2 linked regions of the Styela clava genome follow. The protein of the gene in region 2 interacts with the protein of the main gene of each other region in a pairwise test. Links are inferred from orthologs where the notes say so. Each region holds a gene or a part of one and is shown on either strand. Other genes may lie near its edges.

Region 1 (15,417 bases), on a different chromosome or scaffold from region 2:
GAAATGGAAATTGAATGATGGATACATGTTCATGCAGGTAATGAAATAGCTTGTATCTTTATTGTTGATTTGCTTCTGTCAGACCGAATATATTGATGACAAATTTGGCATTAGGTGATTCCAATTATAATCAGCTTGACGATACCTCTTGAGGAAGTATTTTTCTATCCACAGTATTTAACTCTTGTTAACTAGTTCGGTATCCAATTTGGCAATCCTCATAAAATTATTAATTTGGTGTGGTAAAAGCATTTGTTCATTTTTTTTATTTGTTTTTATATATTTCTTTTTACTGAGTAATTTAATTGATTTTAAGTCTTGCTTTTTTCTTCTAGGAAAATGTAATACAAGCATTATAGTTTTAATATTATTTTTTCAAGGTATTGGAGAAAATTTGAAAGGACAATGCAACCTTTGACTGAACCAAGCGTGGAACAAAATGGCACGTTGCGCAAATTTCAATCAAAATCAGTTCGTGGTTTGAGCATAGCCGTGATTGTTCTGGGCATTCTGTCGTTTGGTGTTGGTGCAGCCATCCTCACTTTTGCCCTTCTCCAAACATGCTATTGGAATGATTACCAGAGACGATGTGACTATGAAAGCACATATCAATCAGCTGGAATTTGGTCTGGACTTGCTTATATCGCCAGTGGAGTGATTGGATTGTTTTCATCAAGGCGTAAAACAACATGTTTTATAGTTACCTTGATGATCATGTCAGTTGTAACCGCCTGGATTGCCACCTGCAGCATTATGATAAGTGTCATGTCACAAACTGATTCAGACCGGACCGGACCAGATAAATACTCATATCCGTGGACTTTACGCATTTTGGATGGCTGCATCACTCTGCTGTCTTTCATAGTATTCATTATCTCATGGGTGAAATTTGGATTTGCCTGTCACGCTGTTTGCTGCAATGGAAAGGAAGCATATCCCAAGATAAAGCAATATGTTAATAAAGGTTACCAACCACTACAAAGTCAACCTGTGATGTATGCCAATAGTTCTGGCCCGTCTTCGACACCTGCTGTCGGAATGCAGTTTTCTACTCCACCCGTGCCACAACCAATGGAACCAATCTACTTGGTTCAAGGTCGTCAGGTAATTGGAGTGCTTCCCCAAAATATTGGTTCTGTAAACCAATCACAAATGCCTGGAGGAGCAACTAATGATGTCGATAGTAAACCCACCTTTCAAGACCCCCAGCATGTGTAGGCATGTCACTCATCTACTGCTTTTTGCTGAATTTATTTACTTATACACAAATGTATTAATAAGTAAGGTACAAATATTGACAAAAGAAACAGCCACCTTTGCCTAAAGTTCATATAGATTGTATATAACTTCTAAAATGCAATAAGTTTCTTCTTCTACGATAGTTTTTCTTTATCTGTGTGTCTACGTACCAGATTAGTCTTTAAAAACGTTACATTACTGTCTTGTACCATAATGCATATCTTGTCTTCATCATATCCGTTATACACAACTTAAAAATATATAAATTCATGAAGATATATTGCATTATTATCTGTGTCTTACTGAAAAATGTAGTGGAGCCGTCTATTTAATGGCCAAAAAACAATAGCTGCTTATTATAAAGTTGGGGCATTGCACAAGTATGGTGAAACCCTATTTTGCTGTCCCTTTCCAAATTAATATGAAGGCCGTTGAAATTTCTAAAAGCAGTCGCTTTCAGCTGTTGAGCTTTTGATATCTGGTTCCTGTAGAGCATTACTCATCCAATGAATCCGAGATTCAGCAAACGCCTAAAACTATGTAGTCCCCAAGACTGCATAATGACATAGCGCACTCGGCCCCTGAGTTATGAGATACATGGATTTGAACAATGAAACCAAAAAATCTGATCCGTGAGCCTCTTATTATAATGGGCCAATTCAACCACTCTCGCTTCTGAAAGGTTATGATTATATTTACTAAATGTATCAATAAAACAAGTATTAAGTTTGCCCCTGGAGGTACAATTTCAAAATCGTCAAATAGTTGTATTATTGTTAGGTATATTAGTGCATATAAGTAAGTCATGGATGAACTTTAGGAGGGGTGCTGTGTTTCGTTGTTTTATCAGCTTTTGTTACCCAAAATGAATATGATCAGTGATTTTCTGAGTGTTATACATGCAAGACCGCAAAGCCGCCTGTGTGAACTGGAATGAACTCCAAAACAGTCGGTAGATACCAAAGTATGACAATTTATTAAGAACCTATTGTACAAATGTGTTCAGTTTCAAAACTTCTAAAAGATTGAAAAAGATATTTGTTAGTTCTTCATCTTTCCCAGCAGATGCAGCATCAAATAAGTTGCGTAAGAACACTCTATGTTCACATCCAATCAATTTCTTTTTGACTTCAGGTGTACTGGCAATATAGGATGTGATTTCTTCCGCACAGAGTTTCCACAAAGGGCAAATTTCTTGCCAAGATTCTTGGTAACTGTAAACAGAGTTTCAACATGAGACAATCATTCAAATGAATATGTTATAATTATAAATGCAATGAAATATTACTTACTTGGGACTGACTTTTGGGTGACCATCAGTTGGAGATACCTCATATGCATCAAAAAGAAACTTGAATATTTTACATAAAATGTCATCAGATATGGAGCATGATGATTTGTTCAATAAAATTGACGAGAGTGGGTATACGTACCCAAATGTTTGAATTGACAATGGCTTTTGTACTAATATTGTCATTATAGAAAATATTTTACTCAAGTCGTTGTGATAGTCTTGACATTCAACATTAGTCATTGTAGAACAAACACTTATTAGGCTTTGTAACACAATATGAAAAGTAACTAAATTATCCATTTTTCCTGGGTAGTGTAATTTTTTCTCAATTAAATCAATAACGCAGATGAGGGATTGCAAAATACCATTTTTAATTATAGTGTCATGGGTGCTCATAGCACTTGCTGCTTGCATCACTGCAGGCAAGGTGCATTCTAGCAATAACAAGTTTTCATGCTTTACGATATATTTCAAAACCTGCTTCAGTATTGGAAGTGTTTCATTGCCTTGAGCTGAAGTTACATTGTTCTCAATGTTAAGCCATGACCCTAGAAAGCGAATACAAATAGGAAGTAATAAATTCAATAATTCTGTATCTGGGATGCCTGTTTCATCATCAACTGAATAAGATGAAATAAAAATAGACACACTGTTGGCTAAATCAGCCAATGCTGGTTGAGTGAGTCGAATTTGCTCAAAAGATAGAATATCATCCTTCTCACTATCATTTTGTTCAAACTTGGCAACTGCTGAGCAAAATGCTTCCGATATGAAGAAGCAAGACATGATGACCGATAGATTTTCAGAAAAGTTTGACTCTATGTCATTAGAAATGTTTCTTAAAAACAGTCCAATCTCAATGCATGACAGTCTTGTCACGATAACAATAAAATTTGTCTTTTTCGAATTCATTGTGAACCAAGAAATACCAAACAAGCGAAAAATTTCACTGGCAAGTTGTATCGGTGACTTCCTTTGCTCGGTGTTAAGTTTACTACACAAAACATCTTCAAGGCCACACATGATGTCCGTTATGGCTTCATGATATCCAAGCAAATGTTCGCTAGAATATGCAGTTAAAATTTGGAACAGGTGAGTGCAAATAGTGAATTTTTTATTTGTTTGGTCTATCTTGAAAACATTTGCAAGTGATTTGAACCATTTTTGAAACTGTTTGTTTTGCCAAAGATGGGGTTGCTTTGATAACAGCATAGAAATAAAGTGATGGCTTTTGTCAGACTGCTTTTCACATAGACACAATGTATTAAAAGCATCACTTTCAATGATCTCAGAGATGCAGTCATCAAAATATGTAAGAGCAATGAGACAATCCATACAATCTTCAATTACAGATTCATATTTCTCTTCGTTGGAAAACAATTTAACAACTTTAAGAAGATGTGGTACAATAGCTTCCAGGCCTTCATCTCTAAAAAACTCAACATCAGCACAAAATGACCACAAAATTGACATCCCGATCGAAACAAAACTAAATTTGTTTTCTTCTGTTGTTTGTGAGCATGCAGTCTTGACAAGACGCAATGGAAATTGAATTCCAATAGCTTTTAACAATTCCTTTCTGTTTTCTGGCAAAATAGATCCTCCTCTCGTTAATTTTGACACAACAAGCAAGGCAGCAAATCTCTCATTATCAGACTTTGCTTTTTCAACCATAGATAATATTCCTAAAAACTTCTCATTAGAGATTTCAATTATATCTTCTGACATGATTATACTCTAAAAATGTAGCAACAATAAGAATATGTAACTTGATTAAATATGAAATGCAAATCAAATTTCTTATTTTTTTAGGCCATGATAAAAGACATTCTAATACAAATTGCAATCATTAGAAAGTTGCAAAAACTTAATTCTAAATGTTTGACAAACTTCTTCATGACACAGACAATAGTTTTAACATTGGCAGCGAACCAAAATAACAGATACAGTCCAAGGAATTCATATTTTATAGCAAAATCCGATTGTATTTCTATTATAACCACAAGTATTGATATGATTGTGAATTGACAATGGGACTTAATTAAACTTGGTTTGAATTGATTGTATTAAAAATATGGCTTCTAAGTTTTGTTTACTCTTGACATATTTCCAGGTATTTTTTCAATATTACGAACAAGAAAATAAAGTATACTATTGTATCTAGCTATTGAGCATTCAAGTTCAAATAGCCTATTAGACATTATGATTTGGTCATTATTATTTCATACTACTATAACATTTTTTCTATTTGATTACATGCATCTAAGACTGAAAGAATGTTAAAAGTAACAATTTACAGCATTTTCAATAAGCTGGAATGAAGTGACATTTCTGCATTTAGAACATAAAAACGGACAATTTCAGAATATTGACAAAGGTTGTCTTGCACCATATAGATGCTTCCAAGATGCTGGGAAAGACCAAACAGTTTTCCCATTGTCTTCACTAATTTTCCTATAATTTTTCCATGAATTTAATGCATTAGCTAATAAGACAGCCTCTGGTATATTGTCTCCTTCCGAGCAAAATATCATCAAAATTACTGAAAAGAAATTTGGTTCAGAAGTCACACATTCGTCATGGAAATTTTTCGCAAATCCTCCACCAGGAAAAAAATAGTTTTTGTCACCAGAATCCATTAATCGTTTCTGAAGTTCTAAGAATTTTTTATCTGTCAATTCTCTCTTGTTTTTCTTGTCATCTGGATGAACCAAAAAACGCACAGGTGAATTTCGTATTTCATTATCTGTTCTTTCGTATGCATGACAACTTGTCAGCAAAATAACTTCAGAAAATCCTTTGGAATTTATCCATGATACAAAATCTGTAGAATATTGTTTCTGCTTTCCTGCAACAAGTGGAGCTCGCTGCTGTGAAACTGCCAACTTCTTGCTGTCGTCAATAAATAGTTCAAGAGTCAATGTGAGTGAATTATCCGAGTCGTCTTTGCAGAAGGCATTAGATCCGACCACTGGAAGAACACATGAAGTTCGTAAATATCCCACTTTATTTAGTTCCAAGGTGTTAATCAGAAGATCACATGCAAGTTGGCCCACATTTCCCACTGAAACTGCTGGTACTACCAGTGTGTAATTCTCAAAATTTATTTCCTCGTTTAATAAAGCGAAGAATTCCATCTAGGCCCGGCCTAATATACTTAATTTTCGCTGCTTTAATTAGCGCAAACAAAACGCGCGTGAAACGTGAACTTATGAAGGAGCATGTTAGGTAAATCCCCTAAATTTATTTGCTCACATGCGGCGCTAAATTCCTAAAAATATTCTGGACATTCCAGGGATATTCGCAGAGCATATGACGGGCCATTCGCCGTATGCCTATATTTTTAAACATTTCGGCTTCAAAAAAAAATATCCAAAAAAAGTAAAGTAAAAAAGTAGGATAAAAGTAATGTACGAGGATTCCAGAAATTGTGTCATTAGTAATAACTTGTTTTTATTTGTCAAAAAATTTCGTCAAAGAACAAGAAAATCCAATGTCTTCGAAATTATTTTTTTAGTTGTTTTTATTTTGCCTTGAAGTTGTTGCTGCCATGATTAGCGGAAACACTAGAATTAATGGAATTAAGTACAAAAATTATTTTTTTAATTGTTTTTATTGTGCGCTGAAGTTGTTGCTACCATGATTAGCGAAAACACTAGAAACAATGGAATTACGTACAAAAGCCACTATTCAAATTGACAATGTTAGCAGATGATGGTACTGTGTTCATGGAAAAGATGTCAAAAAAGTTTAAATGCTCTGTTCGAAACGTTATCAAAATTTGGAACAATATCTGGACGCTAATTGATGTCAATTGGTAGCGTAAGTATCCTAAAACTTTGCGTTTTGAAAGATGAGAAACCTAACTTTGCATGTCAAAATTTGTATAGTGAAATTTTCGCTAACCAACCACTACTACAAAATAGGGAAATAGTTTATAGAAGAAAGCCTTTTTATTCAATCATAGTATAATGAAGGTGTTGAATTGTTCCGATAGTCGTTGAACATAGTTAATGATAACGATTGGCTTGTTTTGATTTGCGTGAACACTATGGCAGGGCATCGGAATACACCGAATACTATAAAAGGATGTATCACACATGAATGGCTGCAAAATTTTCATAATTTTGATATAGATTCTTTTATAACTGAACGAAGAAATATAACGAAAAACAATTTATTTCACCAATAAAAGTCAAAAGAGTAGACGACTTATTTAAATGAACATTCCATTAATAATTGGAATAAATATTGTACCAATGTTTATTTTTGTACTATATTGAGACAAACCCAAGTTTTTCAACAATATACTATTTTGTAGGGCATTCGTCCTGAATATTTTATATAGCTTTAATTTAGTAGATTCGAACAGTGCATCCGTTGAGAACATCAATCACATTTTCTTTGAATGTGATTACTCATCAATATTCCGGCAGCAATAGAACCAGTAGGCGTTTCTGAAAACCGGTATTAATTTCTCGTTCACCAAGATGAAGTGTTTTTACTTTTTAGGCTATTGTAGGCCTACAAATTTCTTTGGCCAGATTTGTAGTTGTGTCGTGCTTGCCCGTCGATTGGACACGTTAGTGGACATAACGATCGTTTCAATATTATGTTGTTGTTGTTTTATCCTTGTTCTTTGACACGTTGGACACCTAGTGAAAAACCTAAAAAGTCCCCTTTCTCTTTGATTACTTGATCAATTGCTCCGAAATTTTCAGTTGGTAAAGATAAAATTTTTCTTTAGAAGGCTATTACTTTCATTTATTTCAAACGTGCCCATATATTTAAGCATAGCGCTCTTTTGACACTATCAGAGATATTGAAAGACAACTGGCATTGAAAATAGCGAAAATACTCAAATATAACAAAAAATGGTGATCTGCCCGACAACTCGGGTGCGGAGGTAGATGTTTTTGATGCATAAGAGTAAGCACTCTCATGACGTCAAGCAAAAATACTGAAGGCATCGGCTCACATTTTATACGGATATAGTGACTTTAGGTACAGGTTGCCATACCGTCCGGAAAATTCCGGACATGTCCGGAATTTAGGGTTAAATTTTGTCTCCGGGAAAAATTTAAAAAATGCTCAAATGTCCGGAATCCGGAATTTTACGGCATCTGCAATCCTACTGTGCACACTGCTAATAAGGAACATTTTTATTTCGTACCGTGCGCCTAATTTTTACTACGAGGTCATGAAAATAGTCATGCACTGTCCGGAATTTTGCTTTTTCAAATATGGTGACCCTAGTCTAGTATTCCAGACGAAATGCCTTGTCCAGAACTAAGCAAACTAAAATATTTGACTTTTGAATCGTCTAGATCAGGGGTGGGCAACTTCTCTAGTCGGCGGGCCAGATGTGAAAAAATAAAGCCCTCAGCGGACCGGATTATTACAAAAAATACTTCGATATCCAATTTTTGTTAAATGCTCGACACTCTCTGTCAACTTCACGTTTCTTGGGATAATCCATGGTTAATAAAACTTAATATAAAATCTAATTTCTAAAATCTTTTTATATTTAGGTTTCAAATATAACTGATAACAGTAGTGGGGAATGTTTACGACGCTTTCTGCTCTGACCTTATATTGCTTGTTTAACAAGTGTGCTAACGCAATTGTTTGTTCACTAAGGCAATTGTTTATTTCACCAGCTCGCACTGACAGTGCGGTGAGAGTAGAGCGATCGGCAACTTTCACGAATGATGCGTCGGACCACATTACAGAGTGTTGTACAGTCAGCAGGCTGGTCAAAAACTCTCCGTAAATTGCCCACCCCTGGTCTAGATTTTGTAGTCAAAGTTTGACCCGTGACTCGATAATAATTAGAGACTCAGGGTCTTCTGCTTAACACTTCAACTATACATTTTTTTATTATATATATATATATATATATATATAACTCTATTACGGTAGTTAAACGGACCTGCCGTAATTGCAGTACTTAAGCGGACGTCGTTCCTGTGTCCGTATCAATGTTTTTAAATACGTGCTTGGAGAGCGCGAGAGCCGTTGACAACTAGGGAGAAAAAGAGTCAACATAATCCTCTCGAAAACAGATATAAAATTTTTGTCCGCTTAATTCGTCCACTTAATTCAGACCACCAAATGTTTTAGCCTATTTCGGCACTAAGCCGGACCCCTCTTATATGTCGCTCTGGATGTCTACATAAATGATGTTGCTTTTATTTTAATACGCATTTCAAAGCGTATGACCTCGCTTCAATTTCCGATGGATTCGAACGATTTAGCAATATTTATCACAAAAAATAGCATTTCTTTTTCAATGTTCCGTCTTTCGTGCATGGGAGATGCACTGTGTTTGGTTTTGGAAATATTCTTCGATATCAAAAAATACTCAAAATGCAACGTGAAGGTATACAAATCGAAACAAATTGATCCAAACGTGTTATATATTTGAAACTGAGAAATACACAGAGCATATCACAAATGTTCGCCTATTCCAACCCTATGGTGTAACATATGGATTAAACAGATGCTATGTTGTGAGTGTCAAGATATCAATACCAAGTCAAAATTATGACATTCCAATAATATTGATAAACATTACACAAAATATATCTCAAATGTCAACTTATCCGACCACCTAAGGGTGGCATACAACAATTGAAAAAAAAATTCTTAAATCATATTGAGAAACATCTCACAAAATATATCTCAAATGTCCACCTATCCGGCCACCTAAGTGTGGCGTACAAGAATTGAAATGAAAATTCTGAAATCATATTGAGAAACATTACACAAAGTATATCTCAAATGTCCACCTATTCGGCCACCTAAGTGTGGCGTACAAGAATTGAAATGAAAATTCTGAAATCATATTGAGGAACATTACACAAAGTATATCTCAAATGTCCACCTATCCGGCCACCTAAGTGTGGCATTGAACATTAAAATGAAAATTCTTAAATCGTATTGAGAAACGTCATACAAAATATATCTCAAATGTCCACCTATCCGGCCACCTAAGTGTGGCATTAAACATTAAAATGAAAATTCTGAAATCATATTGAGAAACATTACACAAAGTATATCTCAAATGTCCACCTATCCGACCACCTAAGTGTGGCATAAAACAATCAAAATGAAAACTCTTGAAATCTTATTGAGAAACATTACACAAAGTATATCTCAAATGTCCACCTATCCGGCCACCTAAGTGTGGCATGAAACATTAAAATGAAAATTCCGAAATCGTAATGAGAAACATTACACAATGTATATCTCAAATGTCCACCTATCCGGCCACCTAATTGTGGCTTTCAAGAATTAAAATGAAAATTCTGAAATCATATTGAGAAACATTACAAAAAATATATCTCAAATGTCCACCTATCGGGCCACCTAAGTGTGGCATACAAGAATTGAAATGAAAATTCTGAAATCATATTGAGAAACATTACACAAAGTATATCTCAAATGTCCACCTATCCGACCACCTAAGTGTGGCATAAAACAATCACAATGAAAACTCTGAAATCATATTGAGAAACATTACACAAAATATATATCTCAAATGTCCACCTATCCGACCACCTAAGTGTGGCATACAAGAATTGAAATGAAAATTCTGAAATCATATTGAGAAACATTACACAAAGTATATCTCAAATGTCCACCTATCTGACCACCTAAGTGTGGCATAAAACAATCACAATGAAAACTCGGAAATCATATTGAGAAACATTACACAAAGTATATCTCAAATGTCCACCTATCGGACCACCTAAGTGGGGCATACAAAAATTGAAATGAAAATTCTGAAATAATATTGAGAAACATTACACAAAATATATATCTCAAATGTCCGAATATCCGACCACCTAAGTGTGGCATACAACTATTGAAACAAAATTCTGGAATCGTATTGAGAAATCTTACACAAAATATATCTCACACACTTAAGTGTGTGAAATTTACCTGAAATACGAAATTTCGAATACTAATCATATTTTGATGTTGTGGAAAATTGCTCAAAATTTATCTCTAATGTTCACCTATCTGATAACTTGAGAGTGACAAATATTATAAAACAAAATTTTGAAACCATATTGAAAAACAAAACAGAAAATAAATCGCAAATCGTAACTTACTCAGCTACGTAAGTGTGTCATGTAAATGCAAAATGATATTTTGGAATGGCAATAATATTGAGAAGCATTCAAAAAAAATTTCAAGCATCCGACCATTTCAGAGGGTATATAATTAAAACACGAAATTCTGAATAAAATATCGAGAAACATTATACACAACATATCTCAAATGTTCAATTAAGTGACTTTTCAGTGGGGCCTATAAACGCTAAACGAAATTTTGCCATGTCAATTAAAATGAAAAGCATCACACCAATTATAACTCAAATGTCTACCTATCAGGGCGCCTAATTATAGCAGTGATTGATTATACAGTCAACTATACAAGCGATCAAAATGAAATTATTGAACCTCAATATCAATTTAGAATCTTTGCACAATTTATTTAAAATTTTTGCACCAACTCGGAATACAAAAACATGATTGTTATTTTGAATTTATAATTAAATAGTAAAAATGTATGCCAAGTATGTATACGAATGTGGATATGCCCACTAGGTTAAGTTGTTGAGGAGAGACAAGATTATGCTCACTGCCGGTTCATCTTTATGAATTATACAGAGATGTCTTAAAGCTTTACAATAAAATTCTCGCAAGATATACCAATCCGTGCAAATATTTTTCTTTTCGTCGTTTCTTTTCTGGTTCGCGTTTGTTTAAAAGCTTTTTTTTTAATTGATTTACAGCCTTTTTCTTTTCCATATATATGGTTTTATTTGAAATCACTTACATTGCTTATTGAAAGTGATTCTGAAGATGGTGCGGTATAGTCTGTTGACTTATCTGAAACTTTGGTCAAAAATACATGCATAAGTCACAAAACATCATCACAGTGTTTTAGTCCAATTCAGAATTACGCTACTCTTGATTGATCGAACAAACGAAATGTTTGAAATGGATAATTGCATTATTACTCAAATAAACCAGAGTTTCTAAAAGGTGCACTACAATTATTCGTAGATAGCTGCGCTATTTGTGATGGGCTACAAATGATATTATGATTTGGTTTATTACCATTCATTGGTATCAATTTACGATACTGTATTTAATAAAAAAAACAAGCATAGCAAACTCATTTAGTCACCTCCTGGCACAGCTTTCTCCGAATCACTACCCGCATTTCCGTCTGCCAAGTTCTGAAACGTGGGCCATCTCGTTGGAGAGTCACCTAAATGTGAACAAAAAATACAGCCCAGTAAATAACTAGATGAGGATGGTAAAATAACTCAGGGATATGTGCCAAATCACAAAACAAAATTGCTAGCAATGCAATTCTTCAAGACTGTTTTCCGAAGATGAAATATTTTAATCTAATATGGAGCGGTGTATTAGATATTTTTATTTACACCAAACTATACAAACGTCAACCACTCGCTTCTCGTATATCCTTCTTTTTCGACAAAAAATTGAATTCATTGAATTTTCACAATCTTCGTTTGTATTTTCATCTGGATTTGGAATCCTTCTGAATTACACACTCTTACAAACGCAAACCCAGTCGTAGCATTATTTTGATGGTCAGATCAGAACTACGACCAGTAAAAGCATAACAGTATCAGTAGTCTATATTTTGATAATCTGGATTACGTGAAAAATCTCAACACCAAAAATATAGTAACCCTGATATTAAAAATTGTTATGACTAATCACCTTATCCGATGAGTGATGATTTCCAGCAGCATTCCTCGGTGACGTTGAAATCCTTGCTTATTATGACTCGACTTCAACTCACTGGGTAACTGATAACACCTGACACAAAAGACTTGGATCGCTTCTCCAAACACAACTGTTCTATTTTATCTAAATTTCGGCAATCACGCACTCATGAAGATCCCAATCCCCTCACGGCGTCCAGGTTACTTGCGAACAAAACGGCAAACGTGGTAAAGTTCTCGGCGAACCCGACAGTTTCACTATTGCGTCACAAAGCCTCTTTAGTACGGAGTTGTGAATTGAGGTCCTTTTCAGTTTATTGAGCTTATATTGTAAAAAACAGAACGGACGATCTTCATGTTCTGCCTGGTTATTGTATCAAAATTATCAAACCTATTCTCCAAAAATCGTAAAAACATATACCGAAAAATTAAAAGATTTTTGCATAAACAAAATGTCCACTTTATGTACGAAAATTAAACCCGTTGATTATAAACCAGCAGAACCATTGTCCCCTTAAAGTTGGCGAAAATGTGCAGATATTTGAAAAATATTAAAGGAACATATTATTTTTAATACTGTTTTAGGAGAGAAAAAGAGATTTCATCAAAATATCGCAAAACGTTTTAATTACGGAACGTGGAATAATTAAGCGGACAGGAAAATGTCTACCCAATTTTTCCGTCTACATAACTGTCGCTTTTTTAGCGCGGTATGTCTACTTAACTACCGTATTAGATATATATATATATATATATATATATATATATATTGAAAACATGACGCAAAATGGCACTACCATTAGGACATAATTAATTTATGAAAATTAGCAATTTGAATGTCTTTGCAAGAATGCTTACTTTTTTTTATCATTTTAGTTCAAATAGCGATGTTATTCACAAATTGGATTCTTGTTTATGTATTTCGGACATTGCCACGGGGAGCAGCGCGTATGACAGCAGGGATAACAACTATAGAAAAAACTTAATTCCATAAAATAAACGGAACATATTTGAGGATTGAGGGGAGGTATCTAATAAAGTCACTTGGCAAAGTTAAGACTTTTTCATTTTCCTCAGCGTCGTGCAAGAGTGAATTCTTTCCATCCGTCACCATCACGTTGACGACTTCTACAGATCTGTATTGTCGGCAGCACGACATCATGACAAATTGAAAGGTTTCGTCTGTAATTACCCAGTTTGCTTACTGTTGTCGGTAGCACGACACAGTGACAAATTGAAAGGTTTCGTCTGTAATTGCCCAGTTTGCTGACTGTTTGTAGATGTGTTGGATCGGGCGTAACGATAGCTTAGTTCTATTTATCATTAATGTGTAAACAAATTGGTCATATCTGCTGCTCTGTTTTGACACACCTGCTCGTAGGGCATATGCGATTTATTTGTAGATGGGAAGTTTTATTAGTTGTAAATTAGTAGTTCAAATAACAAAACAATGTATTAGGGAGTGGAAGTGGCTTAGAAAAAAGAGATGGCTATGCTGTTTTGTTATTGCAAATGAGTTGTTTTGAGATACTGTTTCATTTTGGTTGTTGTTCATATTGCCCACAAATTAATGACGCGGTCTGTTGTTTCTTGGTTAAGGATAGAATGCCGAATAGCAAATGTATCATCCCCCTTTTCTATATTTTAAAGATGAAATTACTATTGTGAACCCAAGCATCATCCAATATTCTACTAATATTCTTTTCTTGCACTATTTCAGGTATTTTGTTCCTAATTTCAATTGCCCTAAACACAATTTGTTTCAAGCTAATATTTCAATTGCATTACGAAGCTCTGAATATAAATCAAAACATGCGTAATTATGATTATTAACTTTCAGGTGAAAATATTTCGGAAACTACCGAAGGTTATCCGCAAACGCACGAGCAATTAGAAGCAAAATTTCACGCAACATGCCCTGAACAATGCACCTACATGTACGAAAAGACAAGTATAACGGTATTTTATGAACTATGTTTATTAATCATGGGATTACTTACAACGGTATAATAATGGTGTGAGTGTGTGACCACAATGCGTATACCCAAATCTGAATTTACTGTTGATAAAAAATAATCTGCACTTAAATCCAGATTTAGAAAAGGTTTTCAGTTGGTTCCTAGAGCTTATTTTGACTACACATTTATGCAGCACATTGTTATATTGATATTAAATATATCACAATAACAACAATATACTTATTAAGGTCCTGGCGTCTTTCCTGCAGTCTTTTGTATTGGGGTCGGATAAACATATCTTCCAAGTGACATTTCACCTTTAACGAAAAGATTGGCTGTTCAAAAAGTATCTTGAAAACATTTGATCACGCTGTCCGCAGTTAAGGGACTTCGATTTCTGAATCTCGCTGGTACGTCATTTTCATTAATTTTTCTTTTTTGTTATATCACATTCAACAGCTAGCTTGAGGTGCTTGACTCCAATAGTAGATGTAAATTTCGCGACTAATCGTAATACAAACGCAAATGCAACATGTCTAAAATCGTATTATTGCTAGAAACTGGGTTCCTGTAGAAAGGATAGGATATGTATACATATTTATTTCGGGGTTGAGGAAAGCTGATAAGACGACTTAACCATATGGCGAAGCAATGCCCCTGGTCCGGTTACCAATCCATGTCGGGTATGGGATAAATTAGTTATTTGTTTTTGGAGGCTTGGATTTGATGGTGGAGTAAGCCGCAACCGACCAGCGGTAACATGAACCACCCTGCGGCGGCGAGAAGACCAGCAATCCTCTCGCACATAACTCTCCCCGCATGGGATTCGAACCTGCGAACCCACAAAAGGTAGTCAGAGGTGTGGTGGCGAGCGTATCCCTAACGCTTAGCACGATGAGCCACACCGCCGCGCCAACAAATTCACTGTGTGTGTGTGTGTGGCCACGATATTTACGACGTGGCCATCACAGAACATATCCTGCATTACCGCAAAATAGAGTAGATAGAACAGAACACCGCTTCGAGAGTACATTTTAGATGCTGCCTTCTCAAAATTGTTATTTGAATAGAACCATCTATCATGAAAATGACGACACAGTTCCTTTGGTTTTCTCTTTTCTTCTGCCACTTCATCTCTGACATATAACATA
Region 2 (16,564 bases):
AATTAATAATCTTTTTAAAAGACTGGCTGTTGAAGATACTAGATTCTGTTTTTATTTCAACTATAGAATATCGAATTTGTTTCATAATTAGTTGTTAATTAAGTATTACACTATTCTATAGACAAATTCCTGATGAAGCGCATTTTCATTCAAGACATTCAAAATTACATCAAAAGGCTGTAGTAACATAATTAATGTGTTTTATACCAATTTTAACATTTTAGGTAGATTCTCAATTCTGAGAAAAAATGGAAGTTTTATGCAACAAATGTTAAGCAAGTAAGTATATTTACATGCCATATTTTTTCACGGAATTTGTTCAATTTCGTAGAATGTTTTCATATTGTTCTTGATGACTTTAAATGGTCTTAATATTATAAAGCGCGAAATTGGCTAGGTATAGGAAAAGGTTTGAATTTTAATGGCAGTTTTCCTTCCCACAGCATTCCAAGCCTTGAAGTCGTGGGAAATCCTGAATCACCAGTTTTTCATCTCCATTGCAAGTTATTTAAAGATCGTAAACGTGAGGAAAAGTACTTGGAAAGTTTAGTCGATATGGTATGTATCACTTTGATTAGTGCTTTTCTTAATTCATTTCATTATAATCACAATATGGTTTAGAATGCTAATGTATCACAAAAATTTTTAATTTCGAATACCGTATTCCAAGGACCAGAAGTCAATTGGGTTATAAGGCGCATTGTCAATAAATTGCTTAAATTGAGGTTTCATCAATATATTTTTAAGGAGTATAGGGTTATCGTACAGATATCATTAAACAAAAAACATCTTTTATGGTTATTGTATTTTATTCATACTGGTACTGGTTTACAGTGTAAGTAATAAAGTATGAAGCATTACCTGATCTATCCATTAGGCGCACAATCAATTTTTAAGGGAGGCGCCTGAAAGTGCGCCTCATGGTCCGTATACGGTAGACTAATTCATAAGATTTTCTGTGTTGACAAATTCATTCACAAAAGCTAACTTGTTTACCAGTGCATGAAAGAAGGAGTTGCTCTCACTCTCGCTGCAAGATTAGAACAAGAAGAACTGCTCCAAGATCAATCTCCCTCAATTAGAGTGTGTGTCTCATCGGAAATGTCAGAAGATGAACTTAGACAAGCAGCAAATATCATTGAAAAAGCTGCAGCCAAGTTAGAAAGCGATCGGTAAAATTGAAGAATTTGTGCAAGATTGGTTTGTAATCCAAACTTTGAATGTGTGTTGGGAGTTTTGAATTTTAAAGTATTTTCATGATCCATGTTGTAGTCGTAGCAAGTTTATTTAGTTATTTCAATGAAGGGTATATTGTTTGCTATAAAGTCATGTTTCAATAATTACAATCACTACTTGTCAGTGCTCAAAGTTAACAACAGGCTTCTTCTCTACTGATGTAAATAGACCAAAACCAGGTCTCAATTCACAGTTGCGTCCATTCTGTCTATATATAATATTTATAATTTTGAAATGTTTGTAGCTTTTCTAGTGTTATGATACACATTATTTATTCTAGACTTTCATATTGAATTTGCTGCATCTAGTTTTGGCTTCATATTGCTTTTTTTCCTATTTGCTTTAGCTTAGATATATCGATGTTCTAAATTTACAGAAAAATAAAACCTAACAAGTAACAATTGATATTGAAGCTATTAATAGCAAGAATTTATGCAGCTGGCATGGTCACAAGTTGTGTGGACCACCATGGGATTCGAATCCACGAACACACATTGGGTAATCATCGCGGCTGTGGTCAATCCTCAACATGATGTAGGCTACCATCACATAGATCAGGGATATCCAACTCGCGGGCCGCAATTTTGGCTTAGTTAGCCAGTTAGTTACATTGTGCGATATTAAAGCTACCAGTTGACATTAAACAGTTGTGCAATGGAAACCAAAAGCAAGTTTTGAACTAGTTGAAGAGAAAAATAGCTGACTTTATTTTTTCTTTTGATTATTTACGCCAATGTATATGCATTTTTCATAAAAGGTCAGTTAAATTTCCTGGTCTTTGCGTGCATCTTGTGTTCAGAAATTCGCAAAATTGCTGTGCAATGCAGGCGTTTGATTCAGCGACGCTCAAATTCTAACGTAAATCGGAATTGGGTTGCTATTTAAGTTTGGTAAAAACGTTGCGGCACGCAATGAATTTCCCCACGTGAAAGTGGCCCGCGACACCAAAAAGGTAGGACATGCCTGACATACATTATAGAATATAGAGGACTTGCACGGGTCACGTGACTTTGTTACTGGACGGCAATAAAACAAAAACGTCCATTTGGCTTCTGTCAGTTGCAAGTCGGGTTATACGTTTCCGTTTTTTTATTCATAAAAAGAACAGTCACTTAGCAAAGATTTCAATTTTCTTTTTTTGAGATTCGACGGTCAATTTCTGTCTTGTTTACCGTCATATCTGGCAACTCTGGTTAGAGATATCAGTGATTTGTTCAGTTGATTTTGATTCATTTTCCAGGCATTTGTGGCCATTTTGTGCTATCAATTGCCGGACTATGAGAGGTTCTGGTGCTGAGGCCAGCCCACACTCGTAGGATGCCAGCCCACACTCGTGAGACGCTAGCCCACACTCGTTTTTGACAGGCCATACTAGGGGTAACTGGGCCGTGCTTGGTATTGCATTTGATCTGTGTATATCACATATGGTCTCTATATTGTCATAGCCACCAAGTTTTTATGTAATAACGTTTATAAAGTGGTAAAATAGTTGGTTAACCTCTTGACGTCAGGCTGAGCGAGTGTGGGCTGGGGTAACTTTGGTCTATTGGCAGAACTGCTTGGTGTCAAGTCCAGAAGCCATCTTACTTGTGTTTCACTGTTTGCGGACAGCACTTCGTTGATAGCGAGTGATAGTGTGCCGTTATCAATTTTTTTTAAATATTCACAAACTCCCTCATTTCAATGGAAAGCAGATGACAAACTACTGTTATTAGTAGGCCTAGGCGTGGGCCTACTTGCAGTTGCAGACTTGACTTGTGTAAGACAGTAAGGAATTAATAATCAATTGCTATAAGGTATTGTTTCCCTAATTAGCAGGTAATCTATTACTAAGTGTGAAAGGTTGAATAGATAACTAAAGTTTAACACCAGTGGTCATGCAAAAAATAACCAGAATTCAATTGAATTCGCCATCTAGGAATACGCTCGCCACCGCCTCTCTGATCACCCTGGTAGTTTCACAGGTTTCAATCCCATGCGGGGATAGTTATGTGCGAGAGGATTGCGGCTCTACTGGTGGTTCACATGACCGCTGATCGGTTACGACCATTCCCCACCATCCAAGTCCATGCTTCTGAAAACAAATAACTGCCTCTAAATGCATATTACGTGTTTCACATGAATCCATCGTGCTCAGATTCGACTGTTTTCAAGGCCTTATTTTATGGGTACACAAGAGAATTTCCAGTGTGGCATGCATGGGTCAGTTGGAGTCACTAACCTCAAGATATCTATAAGCAAGGATAAGATAACCTGGAAGTAACATTCCATAATTTAGAGTAAAAAATGTATCTGCCTCCACAGCCCTTTCAAATGGGCGATATGATGCCTCGGGGGTAATTTATATCAAATATTTTACAGTATAATGGTTCTAGTGAAAAGAGGTGTAGGCGGTTTTTTTTAAAGTGTGGTAGGTCCAGTCGAAAGACACATTAAATGTTTATGCTAACAACTGCAAATTAATATTGCAACGCATACAAGTTGACAGAATTTGTTGAAATGGTCCTGCCTTTTGCCTTTCTTCAAAATCCCCCTTTTTCTAACTATTCTCTTCCTCTCTGGGGATGGCGAAAATTCAAATATGGATGGGACATATAAGCAGCTGATAATGGGTTATCTTCCCTTTTTCCTGAAAATAAATTAAACACTAATCATCATTTGACAGTGCCAAGTTTGTGTATCAGATCAGTAATAAATTACCTGCTAACTAACAAAACAATCAGACAACACCTTCTGACCATTAAATGAAGATTTCTTTCAATTTAAAACGCAACAATGCCTACCAATGTGGGTAGTTTTTAGGATAGAATTTATCTGTGGTTGAGGACAGATTGCAAGGTGCAACATCGTACGATTACCATTTTATGTCGGGATTAGTTAGCCAGTTATTTGTTTTAGAAGCATGGACTTGATGGTGGGGGATGTAGTAATCCACCCTCAGTGGGAGGAGAGCTGCAATCCCTTCGCACATAACTATCCCCGCATGGGATTGGAACCTGTGAAACTCCCGGGGGGATCAGAGATGCGGTGGCGAGCGTATTCCTAGATGGAGAATTCAATTGAATTCTGGTTATTTTTTGCATTAGCACTGGCGTTAAACTTTAGTTATCTATTCAACTTTTCACACTTACTAATAGATTACCTGCTACCTGGGAAACAATACCTTATGGCAATTATTGATTAATACCTTACACGAGTCAAGCCTGCAAGTAGGCCTACGCCTACCAACAACAGTAGTTTGTCATCTGCTTTCCATTAAAATGAGGGAGCTAGCTTTTGAATATTCAAAAAAAATTGATAACGGCACATTATGACTTACCATCAACGAAGTGCTGTCCGCAAACAGTGAAACACAAGTGAGATGGCTTCTGGACTTGACACCAAGCAGTCCTGCTAATAGATGATATCCACATTGCGCGACGTTCCGTATCTTTTGAAAACAGTGAAATATAACTGAAGATCCATTTCGTTGTCTATACTATACGTACAGCCAGCGGAACAATACGAAATAACCATTTTCAACAGCCAAACAAAACGGAAACGTATAATCCGACTTGCAACTGACAGGAGCCAAATGGACGTTTTTGTTTTATTGCCGTCCAGTAAACAAGGTCACGTGACCCGTGCAAGTCCTCTATAGATGGAGTTAAAAACTACTGGACTCCATAATTTCAAAAAAATACATATTTTTGAAAATAAATGAACACTTACTTTATTTAATATGGGATAATAATAAGTCTTCATCGTCCTGTTAAATTTAGAGATTGATGGGAAACTAAAAAATGACATTTTTCAATCCGGAGCTGAAAGGACTCTGGCCGTAAATAAATACCAAGCAATCAGGCTACATGCATGCATTTCAATGGCCGTGAAGTACAAGGCTCAGTTGTGGAGTTTGCCCGGCGCCGCGCAGTGTTTTTATTTTATCAACGATCGTTGAATGTTTTTTATATAATGTGATATTGAATGTTCAACCTAAAATACAGTCTGACAGTAGGGGACTTATAATACCTGTATGTGAAATCAAAATTAAAACGCTGACGATAGCACGCGTTCAATAATATCGGCTGGCGGTATGCAAAGTGAGTATACAGGTAGGAGTTAACGTTATCGCTTACCCTTACTGCCTTATCAGTAACTGTAGACTACCGATGCCGCTCTGGTACCGGTACTGTTCTGTACGGTGTATGCGGTACCGTTATGGTTTATTGTAATCCTGGATTGCTGCATATTCTCACGTACGGACATATAGACATAAGCAGTTGTTCACATGTAGAATTAAGTTTTTACAGTTATTGAATCAAAGACCAGCCAACAGCTTAGCAACTGTGCAAGATAATATCGTAAAATCTGAAAATTGTAGATATAAATTATATACCGGTAATATACCTAGCAAGTCACACCATATTTGAGTCTAGTGAAGTAGGCTAAATGCCATAACTTAAATAGCCTAATGCCAAACAAAAATATGACATGAAACTAAATGTCGCGACTGCTTAAAAAAACGGCTAACAAAAATGTGATGTGAAAAAACAGCCAGAATTTTTATTTATTTATAAATTTATCGTTTATTTATGGTTATCGTTAAAGTCGTTATGGTGTCTCTGCGATTAGGTGCACTAAACCCCCATATTTTTAAGTATTCAGTTTTGTTATATATCTGTATAATACTGATATTATATATTTATACATATATATATATATATATATTTTCTTTTCATAAAAAAAATCTCAAGGTAGCTATTCCAGTATTCAATAATGGATAAGCTAACAATAATATCAGGAGTTTTATTTGTCACTGCTGAAGTTTTTGCTGTTGCAAGTCTTGGACACCCAGATTGGATTAATACGGGTGGACGGGCTGGTGATATTACGTTGGGTCTAACAATGCAATGTCAAACGATTTATGGCAGAAAACAATCTTGTTTTGCTCCAGATTTACCACCAGAATGGCTCGGGACTCGACTGTTTTTAGTAGCCGGAATTGTCTGTTTGGGGATAACATGTTTACTTGTTGTATCTTCACATTGGAAGCGTGATAGACTAATTTATGCAAGATGGATGGCGTTTATAGCAATTGGATGTTTATCATATGTTGGAATGTTATTTCCGATTGGGTTTCGACAAGTTACTGTTGGAGGTGAAGCTTTCAAATTGCCAGAATTATGGAGACTTGGGGATTCTTATAAATTGCTTTGGGTGTTTTCCATTATCTTGTCATGTTCCGGTTGGGGCATGTTGATGATGCCAATGAGATTATGGATGATGAATCGGAATTGATAAATATCATGAATTGTCATAAAAAATAATTAAATTAGTTTTTTGGTTTGTGATATGTGAATGATTTTTACTAAAATGTCTATTTTAAATCATGCGACATGATCCAAATGGCCACACCTATTTCTGTCTACATTTCCGTGTGGATGAAATTTCATCAATCATATTTTTTCATGAAAGTAAGCTCAAGGCACTGTGAGTAGCAACTGAGTGAGCAACCTTCTATGCAGGGATGGCCATTTCCGAATACTAAACTATTCCGAATACATTCTAAAATAATGTTTTCGAATCTGGAATTCCGAATACATTCTAAAATCGAAAATAACACATTTTTGTTTTAGTTGATTAAAACCCAGTAAATTAGAAAATAAGCTTCAATAGAAATATCAGAATAAAGCCACAAACCAACAGTATATGTACACAAAGTTTATAGCTATCGATAAAAAATAATAGCAACTTGTGACACAGTCAGTTCATTAAAATTATTCATTTGTACAAATGACCATATGAAAAGATAGCCAAGAAGTTGACTGACGCTTTTTATCAGTGGTACCATGATATACGATAATAGTCAAGTCTATTGACAAAAATACTACATGTATTCAGATAATTGTGTATATTTTCTGAGAGTAATAAAATTTATTTGTAATACAGGCAACAACAATCAAAAATCCATTATGCCTTTAAAAATTCTAATATTTAAGCCTAGAGTATTCTAATACCTTTGTATATTTGTATAGTAATTTTTGTGAAACATATTGTTATTATGTGTAACATATTGCTGTGTTTGGAATTAGAAATAAATTAGTAGAGAATAGATGACCACCACTGCCAGCCGCGCAGCCAGGATTTTCGAAATCGGAAATTTCCATTGCCGCCTGTAACGCGCTCGTTAAAAGAGCCGTCTTTTCAGCGTATAATGATCATCCTGTTACGTAAAATATTCAATCCATGACAACTACGAGATTCTAAAATATCTTTATATATTAATTTAATGTGTCCAACGTAATAGTAAAACAATACTATTCGGTCCACGGCGATCTGTGACCTAAAATTACGAGATAAACTGCCTGATGTATTTAATTTTAATACGTGTTTTTGCAATCTTGCCAACTCGTTATCGCCGTAAGAAAAATCTTAAATAATTATATAAAATCCTGTTAAGTGTAGAGTATAATTCATTTCATACAATGAATATACATATAAAGTTCAGCAGTAAATTAAAAATTCATATTCATCGCCTCGATTATGCCACCTGTTAAAAGAGTCGACTTTTACAACAAATAATATAACAACGAATATATATTTTTCTGTTGTGCAAAGTGATGAATTCGTGACCGACACGGGCATATTTAAAATGTCTTGCTTTATTAATTTAATTGTCTTCAATTTAACCTGCGGTTGCGTCGACAAAATAAAATCCTCACCAGTCTTATTATATACCATTGCAATCCGCGGTCATAAAAATAAAAACGCGAGGTGAACTGCCCGATAAAATATTGTTTTGATCCGTATTTTGCGAATTCGGCAAATATTTAGATGTACTTGTTAACAGTGACTTCGCTCGATCGAAATGCTGCCACTCTGATTATTTTTAGATAAAACCGTTCGAAAAATCCATAAATATGCTGTAATATCTCAGAGTAAAATTTATTTCATCACAATAAAATTGATTGAATATACTTTAGATTAATTATATTATATACATCCTCACAACCCGGGAAAAAGTCGCGTTTCAAACCTTGTATCGTGTTAACACGAAAATATTCGACGGCAATTTGAGGTAATGGATAATCAGGCAAATCCCGCCCTCAATTAGTGACGATATGTTTCTAAACGCCGACCAAACATAATGTGTGCCAGAGGCCCACGAAATTTTGCAATTTTCACTGCCTAGAAAATCGTTTTTTAAATTTTTGCGGGCCTCAATAAAACTTATATTGTTTACGGTTTTATTTTCAGTATTTTAAATTGCCGCTTTTCAATCAAAAAGTTGCGTTGTCTTTAGAAACTCGCCGCCGATGAACGTATTTACCAGATTCACAATTCCGTGCGCCTACAAAAATAAAATAAATGTTATCGTTATCGTGGAACAAATTTGTAGAAAATTTTCGTTTTAGAGAAAATAACACAATCGTAAAGGCGTTTACGGGCCTAAATAACACGTTACGCTGATGAGTGATGAAATCAATCACGCGCAAGTTTCTATCGAGAATGTTTTTATTCAACGGAAACGTCTCGAAAGCGGCGTGGAAAATGTGTGACGTCACACAAATATCCGATATTCTTATGAACGTGAATTCCGATATTCGAATGACGAGATATTCGAATACTTAATTCGAATTGGCCATCCCTGCTTCTATGACATTTTTGATATGATTTAATGCTGTCGGACTCCTAAAATATATATTCCCAACTCTCATCATTGGCTCTCTCCGATTGGAAGAAGATTGGACTATTTTGTTGTCTTATTATTGATGGTATCACACTATGGCAAGCCCCGCCCTACGAGGCCTATCCACCATCACATGCTTGACTGATCAATTATCCTTGCCTAATTAAACTGTTTTTTTCAAGGTCTGCCATTCTATACAGTTTAAATGTCCTGATTTTGATATCATTATGCTTTTATACATTTATATTGTCTTTGTATGTTTTGGTATTGACTACCAGGTTTTTGTTTATTTTTTCTATTATTAACACCGAATTGTAAATCATAAGTTACATTCGCAGTATTTTTTTTAACAATATTCAGTTTCTTATGTAGTCCTATATACTAGCAGTGTTTGTATTATTTCTGTTTGAAAAATCTTGTCTATATTCAACATCATCTCAGTATAAGATTAATAAAGGTGCCCCTATTTAAATCTTACAATATGTAGATGTTTCTGCCATGCATTCTATTTGCATAATAATAAATCAGATTTGTGCACCCTAAATGCGCATAATATACAGAATTGTTGTTCGAATTTTGTTTTAATTACTGTTTTACTGTGCTCATATTCCAAGTCATCTCAAATACTTGATTTGTCCATAAATATGTATTAGGTCATAAAAATGTTTTTTCACATCATTTCTTTATCTCGAATGAAAATATTTTTGTTTGATGTCACAATATCCTGACACAGTAACTTCTAGCAGTATGCACATGTCCAGTATAATCATTGATTGCATTTTATGTTTTCCAACGTCCGTTGTATTTTCAATAGTATTGATATTACATACCGGTACTTATTGTTACAAAATGGCAACTTTTCATGGAGAAATATTACCAGTTATTTCAAGAGCTGTTGACGAGGAGGAAGAGGAGAATGCTTCTAAACCAAGGTTTGGTATTCTTCTGTTTCTATGTTAATGAACATCAAGACTGAAATTGGTTTATCTTGATTCAACTTATAAATCGCTGAATGTCGGTAATTTTTGACTTGTTACCATTAAAATTGTTCTTGGTCGCTGCAAGAAAACTTGTTAATTATGAGGTTGTGTAATAGCTTTTTATAGAGTTGTTTTTGTAATGTGATTTGTAATGTTCTGGGCAAAGTTTTAAATTAAGAACAAATGTATCAAAATAAAGGCATTGTGGAACAATTATCTAGATACATACAGTATATAATGTTTTCAATTGTTATCCCGTGATTGATTATTGATATTTTATTTTAGAGACTTGGTGTTGAAATGGTCTGCAGATCATGATCAGAAAGCATTAGAGTGTGATAATCTTATTATTGCTGCTGGAGAAGTCGCATGGAGTGAGTTATTTCATGTTTATTTTTTACGGACCTACCGTAGTTTTTATATATTTTATAATATAATATTATTGTACAAACTTTTACGATGTTAAATTTGTGATGTAATTCACTAGGCCTTTTGAAATATAAACTAACATTTCTCTTTAGGTTTTCTCAAAATATATTATGACCTGCAGAATTCTGACAAAGTAGTTGAAATCATTGAAAATTCAAAAGAGGACGATTGTATTTATGAAGCTATCTCAAAACAACCTAATATCGGTAAGTAACTCAAGAACACATTGCAATTTTATGATGGATATAAATTGTTGCAAATGTATGTTATCACTTCACCTAGAGGTCTCAATTTAATGAATCTGGTCATATTTATCCCATGGAGAGGAGAGACGATAGGACTGCTCAATCATATAGCATATGGCCATAATTATCTCCCACCCATTCGAGAGTGGTTGGCACAGGATTATCACACAGAGCAGCTTTCAGCATTCGCTTGATCACAATCATATTTGATACAGTGGAACTTCTAATGTATAAAATTATTGTTTACAGGAAAACTTGGCATATAGCATGATTTTGCATCTTTAAAACATTGATTTGGATATTCAGAAATGAGATAAAATACAGTAATTGGAGTATTCCAAACAACATGAATATAGATTCCATAACTGCATCTAATTAATGCGCTACTACTTCAAAGTATCTAATTTAATTATCTGACTGATTCAGTCGAGGAAATGATGATCATCCCAAGGGATGGTCTGTTTCGTCTCAAGGGGGTGTCTGCATCCAACATTGGTTTTGATGTTTTAAATTTTGATAGTTTTCAATATTTAAAACAGTATTGTCATTGTTTAACTTTCAGATAAAACAATACAATATACTTTAATTTCAGTGTCAACAATCTATGAAAAATTTAATAAACAAAAAAGGAATATTTTTGTATCCTGTAAGTCATATATTCCACCAGAACAAATTTGGCCATGGACAGCAAAGGTAATTAATTCTTAGGTTTTTTTGAAATTTTATTCGTTTGTATATGCATTACATAATCTGAGAATTACAGAATCTGACAATATTTTACTGAGAATCCAGAACTGTTTGGCAATATTTTTTGTTGTATTTTAATCTCACATTTCATCACTCTTTATCAATTTCAGTTCTTCAATATGGTCAAACCGTTAAAAGATGTGTTCGTCTTGTCATCTTCCACGATACATGAATATAAATGTGAAGACATGAATTCAATTAATACTCCGTTTGTAAGATCTCTATCCACAACAACAAAACCTAAGAATCATCCAGTATTTACTGTACTTGAACAACCAAATTTAATGAAAAGTATACCTGCTGCAAGTAAGCGTTTATTTTTTTGTTCATTCAAGCCCGATTCTGTCACAAGCGTGTTGTCTTTCATTCATGGTTGTAAAAATAATACATATTAAGTCACAGCTTGCAAAGATCTGAAAAGCCTCTTGGAAGAAAGGATTATTTGGAAGGTTATAGCTCGTTACGTGGATAACTTACTAGCTCGTATTTAGCAGTAACTGACGTTTCTTGTAGCTCCCAGGGAATACTTGTTTGTGGTAAAATGCTATGATTTCAAGACTTTATGAATGAAGCTAACAAAAATTAATACAATTTGTGGGTATAATGGTCAAGTAGTTAGTTGCCGGTCTGATTATATTGCCTTCATAGGCTTTTATCAATTAATGCCAGATTAATCTTTCAGTCTGATGTACAGAGTTGGGTACGTTATTGAGTACGTTAACTGAGAAATTTCCTTCCAAATCCAAGAATTCATTATGTCAAGTTCAGAGCCACAACCAATGTAAGGTTATTAAGGATGAAAATTCCCACAGTGATCAATCTATAATTACCTTATCTTAGCCTAGACCAGGGTGGTTCAAACCCAGGCCGCTTCATTATCTATGGCCCGCGTCACATTCTGAGAGTAATCAAAAAATTACACTTTTACACTTAATGCACTTTTCTTGTTTCACAGTCATCACCCACTGTCAGTTTCAAAATATTCCTGCAACTGCTTACATCTGTTATACTGAAAATAATCAACTAGATTCATTATCAATTCAAGCTTTTACTGAGCTGCTAGGAACACCTCAGTTTAAAATATCAGTAGTAAGTATAAGGCTAGTCACAATTTCATTTATGATATTGTAACATAAATACTCATGGTAGTTGTGGATTAGACTAGAATTTTGTGAATATATGGCCATCGGTGATTACTCCATGGAAGCCTCTCATTACTTTTTTCAGAGATTTTTTTCACTCTGTAGTATAGAGCAGTGTTTCTCAACCTATGGTTCACAGCTCAAAATTGAGCCGCCTGAAGTGAAGATTTTCCTGGGTTGCTTGTTTTTAAACCTAAAAGTTACTAATTTTACTTTGTTTTATATAAGTCCTTCAATTTTGCGACTATGAAAGTACTACATGCCCTTTAGTATTTGAGCATAGCCGTAGGCCGCAGGTTTTTATCAAATTTATTTAAAAAAAAATTTTGATCCCTTGAAAAAAAAGGTTGGAAACCACTGGTGTAGGGCTGTGCTATTACAATACTATTTTTGTTACTGGAGATTGCTGCTGTACAAGAAGTCTTTGACCACATCCATGCAATGAGGGTCTAAAAAAGGGACTATTTTAGTGACTGGACTATTTAATCATTGTTCCTCTTCATAGACTTATTCCAGTTAATTATTGTTACCATCATCTATTTAGAATCAGGAATCTGTAAAACAGAAAATATTCAATGCGGTCAAAAATAGTAATGTTGGAGTAGGTTTGTACACATGACGGAACATCTGATTGAAAGCAACCTGATTTGCCTGTTGCAACTCATGGACAACTCTTCAAAAAGGAGATAACAGACATCATATCTATATCACAAGCAGTGCCATAACTTCATTACATAATTTGTATTCTGCATTTTAGCCTCGCTGTTTTTACAGATATGATATGGTCTTGCTATGATAATCTCATCAATTGAGACGCTATATATTAGTTTTCAATAGTTGGTGATTATTTTTGCATCGATGAACATTGCACTACCTTGTCTCTATTTGCATGCAATATTCTATTTTTTAAGTTTGGATACATTGAGTATAAAATTCAAAATCAGACTTGCATACGACCAGTTATTTTTGAGAATCACTAGTCTGATAGAATGAAGTAACATTAGCAATGTGGCAAAGATACAAGTCCAGTAATAATCGTACATAAAGGTTACTATTCTACATTTATTCAGCTTCATAACTTCATGGATCCGAAACTTACCGTATATTTTTTTTATAATGTGCTACCATACTTCGATAGAAATGTGGGTGCACTACCATTTTTGCTTAAGATTTACATGTGATATTTCATTTAGATCTCCACTTGGTTATTTAGTGTTTCATGATAAAACGTGCACCGATCCCATTAATTATTACTTACCCTGGTTATGTTTCCCAGTCTTGACACTCACATTTTTCTCATATCTCTGTGATTATACTGGCGCTTATTTATTGTGTCAGAGCATGCTGGTTTAGGGTTACCATACGCTTTATTTTTTTCCTGACATCTCCGGGGTTTCAGTCGTCAACTTTGCGTCGGAGAGAAATGTTAAATAGTGTCAGGAATTTTTGAATATAGTGAATCCATACTACAAACCCTAGAGTTTTCATATATTGCGCATCCATCCAAGTAAGCGATTTTTTCAGAAGTTTATTTTCTCACCATACTAAATGCACACTTGATATACAAATTGTAACAAATAAATAAAAGGCATTTCAGGGTGAGGGGAGCCGCGAGAAACCAAATTTGGTTATCGAGCAGCGGCACCCATAACTGCTTTAGCTTCCACTCAACTGTTCTCTCCTAAGGCTTGAACTATATTTCCTGGAACTCAAATCCACTTGTATGCTCCAGCTTGAAAAAACCACCATGCTAGCATCCAACGCGCGAATGCTAATGACAAGGAAGAACTAATTACGATATACAAGATTATGATTCTTGCTGCCTCTCTGCATTGTCTTCAAACCTCCTCCCTGACACAAAACGCATTTTCGTGAGCAAAAATAGACGTGCCATTGTCTTCAAACCTCCCCTCTGACACAAAACGCATTTTCGTGAGCAATAATGGACTGCGAATATTTCCTGGTATTGTGTTGCTGTATTTCAATAGCCTCCGCTGAACCCTCGATTTCTTTTTTTACCTGATACAAAATTTATTTAAATGAATGTTTTCCGGAGTATCGAATTCCTTGTTAACAATGACCAATCAGCAATAAGTCAAAGGTGACGTAACAATGGTAATTTGTGCAGTCGCTCAAGTGTGGTCGTAAACACCGGCTCGATTTCGCAGTTTTGAGTGTTGTGTTTTTGAAAATAAGTTTTAAATTGAATAGTTTAATGTTCTCTGATGAGCTTTAGTTTAAATGCTATATTTGAAAAATAGTATCAAAAAAGCTGCGACAGACTTGGCTGAAATCAGCTGTCAGTACCTGTTAGCAGAACGTGGTTAAATATTTTATTAAAAATGGTGGTTTTGAACATGTGAACAAGTGTGTAAGAGTTCCCGCTCCAAAAAACTCCATATTCATATAATTCTAGCGTTGAGCAATTTTTGACTCCACACAACACTACGAACTAAAGACCTTGGGCGCATGGTTGTTCTTGTAGCTATTCACATCCAGATGTCTTGCGATAAGCTGGTTTGTTGGGCGTTTGCTGTTTTTGCGTTGTATGGTACCGTATCTTGCAGTAGGCATAGACATAAAGACGCGCCATCTCATTGCAGCATTGAGTCATTTTTAGTTCTAATATAGGGTCTGGTATAGTTTAGTACCACATGTACTTCTAGTTGACCTGGCTCAACAATTTTTGCAATGCCAATCCTAACCCCCACCTGACCTGACTACGTCACCGAAAAATTACGTCATTTCGACGTTACAGTGGCGTAATAAGGCCCACCGAAGTATGCGGATGCTCGTCCAAAACGCACAGACGATCACCCGAAATCGAGCAAGCAATTTCTCTCGTTTTCTCGTCACAACGATCACTATAGGAGAGAGATCGCCGGCTTTAGCAAGTTCGTTATCGGCGGCGCAGATGTCATTTCGGGCGATCGTAATTATACTTTGGCGATCCCTATGACGTGATGGTGACGTTGTAGTGACGTAGTTTTTGGATGACATAGTCAGGAATAGCTCACTCCGTTCCGACCGTCGTCGGGTGCGGACGTGTCAGCTTGAAAAGACTAGTGAATGCTACTCATCGTTGTATGTTTCGGTATCTATAATCTGTATCGCGTAATATCAACATGAGCAAAGCCCATCCACTGGAATTAAAGAAGTTTATGGATAAAAGATTGGATTTAAAGTTGAATGGTGGACGATTTGTTGCGGGTATATTGCGAGGTTTCGATCTTTTTATCAATCTAGTCGTGTATGATGGAACAGAGCGTAGAAAAGATGAGATCACTGCACCTGTTGGAATGGCCGAATGGTGGTCGTGCGTGGAAATTCGATATTAATGTTGGAAGCATTGGAACGGATACAATGATTTTAAAGTGAACCAACCGAAAACGACAAAAGAACCCAACACTCCAATCCATTTACCAAGCTTGTTTTTTAGTAAAAAAAAATTTGTCACTGTGTTATTTTTACAATATAATTGAAGTAGGCCCACAACATCACCATTTTTCGTCAGCGAGTGTTTTAATCCATATATCTGTATAGGAAAAGCACATACACGTCTCACATTTTAATTTGAATTTATAAGTTGTTGCCCGATGTTACACCGTGTTTTTGTTTTATTCTGTTTTTGGGGGACGGGCACGTACTTGTACGTATTTAACTTTTTTATTAAGTTATGCCCGTCCTCCAGGTTCTCTGTATTTTGTTTGTCCCTTTGTTGTTGTTTTGTGTTTTGTTTGTATCAGAGTGACCGAATAAAATTGATTGATTGATTGATATGCAAAATTCGTTATGCTACGCCCACCGGAAGTACTTGTGGTACTAAACTATACCAGACCCCTAATATAAATTGATGACAAAAGCAAACACAACACTGCTATAGGATTTTCAGTATTCATGGTCGTGCTGTAATTTTAAGCCTGTATTCAGGTATTAGTGTATCTCAGTATGTAGGTTGCTGTGTGATTTATATAGACTAACCTTAACGGCAAAATACTGAAATGCAAAACTAGAAGATGTTGCTCATGATTTACCTGGTCATGCTGTCATGATTTCATGGATTTGGACTACCTAACTTTGAAATAGGAATAGGGAAAATTAAGAATATCAGAA

What was found.
Region 1: the proteins of proteasome assembly chaperone 1-like (region 2) and proteasome assembly chaperone 2-like interact in binary tests that used the Homo sapiens proteins (3 or more experiments, as listed by UniProt). The link is inferred for Styela clava from reciprocal best matches to the Homo sapiens genes PSMG1 and PSMG2.

The regions. Positions count from the first base shown.
Region 1 is NC_135261.1:18,494,483-18,509,899, reverse strand, and holds proteasome assembly chaperone 2-like, read right to left. Parts: upstream 5,769-15,417; 5' UTR 5,671-5,768; coding exon 4,894-5,670; 3' UTR 4,270-4,893; downstream 1-4,269. Other genes in the region: uncharacterized protein LOC120329396, read left to right, coding at 15-37, 381-1,218; neurochondrin-like, read right to left, coding at 2,225-2,453, 2,532-4,261. UniProt on the Homo sapiens protein: Chaperone protein which promotes assembly of the 20S proteasome as part of a heterodimer with PSMG1.
Region 2 is NC_135259.1:12,680,478-12,697,041, reverse strand, and holds proteasome assembly chaperone 1-like, read left to right. Parts: upstream 1-9,619; coding exon 9,620-9,840; intron 9,841-10,173; coding exon 10,174-10,262; intron 10,263-10,409; coding exon 10,410-10,523; intron 10,524-11,154; coding exon 11,155-11,255; intron 11,256-11,419; coding exon 11,420-11,615; intron 11,616-12,264; coding exon 12,265-12,398; intron 12,399-12,995; coding exon 12,996-13,070; 3' UTR 13,071-13,400; downstream 13,401-16,564. Other genes in the region: serine palmitoyltransferase 1-like, read left to right, coding at 225-279, 444-558, 1,000-1,176; modulator of smoothened protein-like, read left to right, coding at 5,995-6,516. UniProt on the Homo sapiens protein: Chaperone protein which promotes assembly of the 20S proteasome as part of a heterodimer with PSMG2.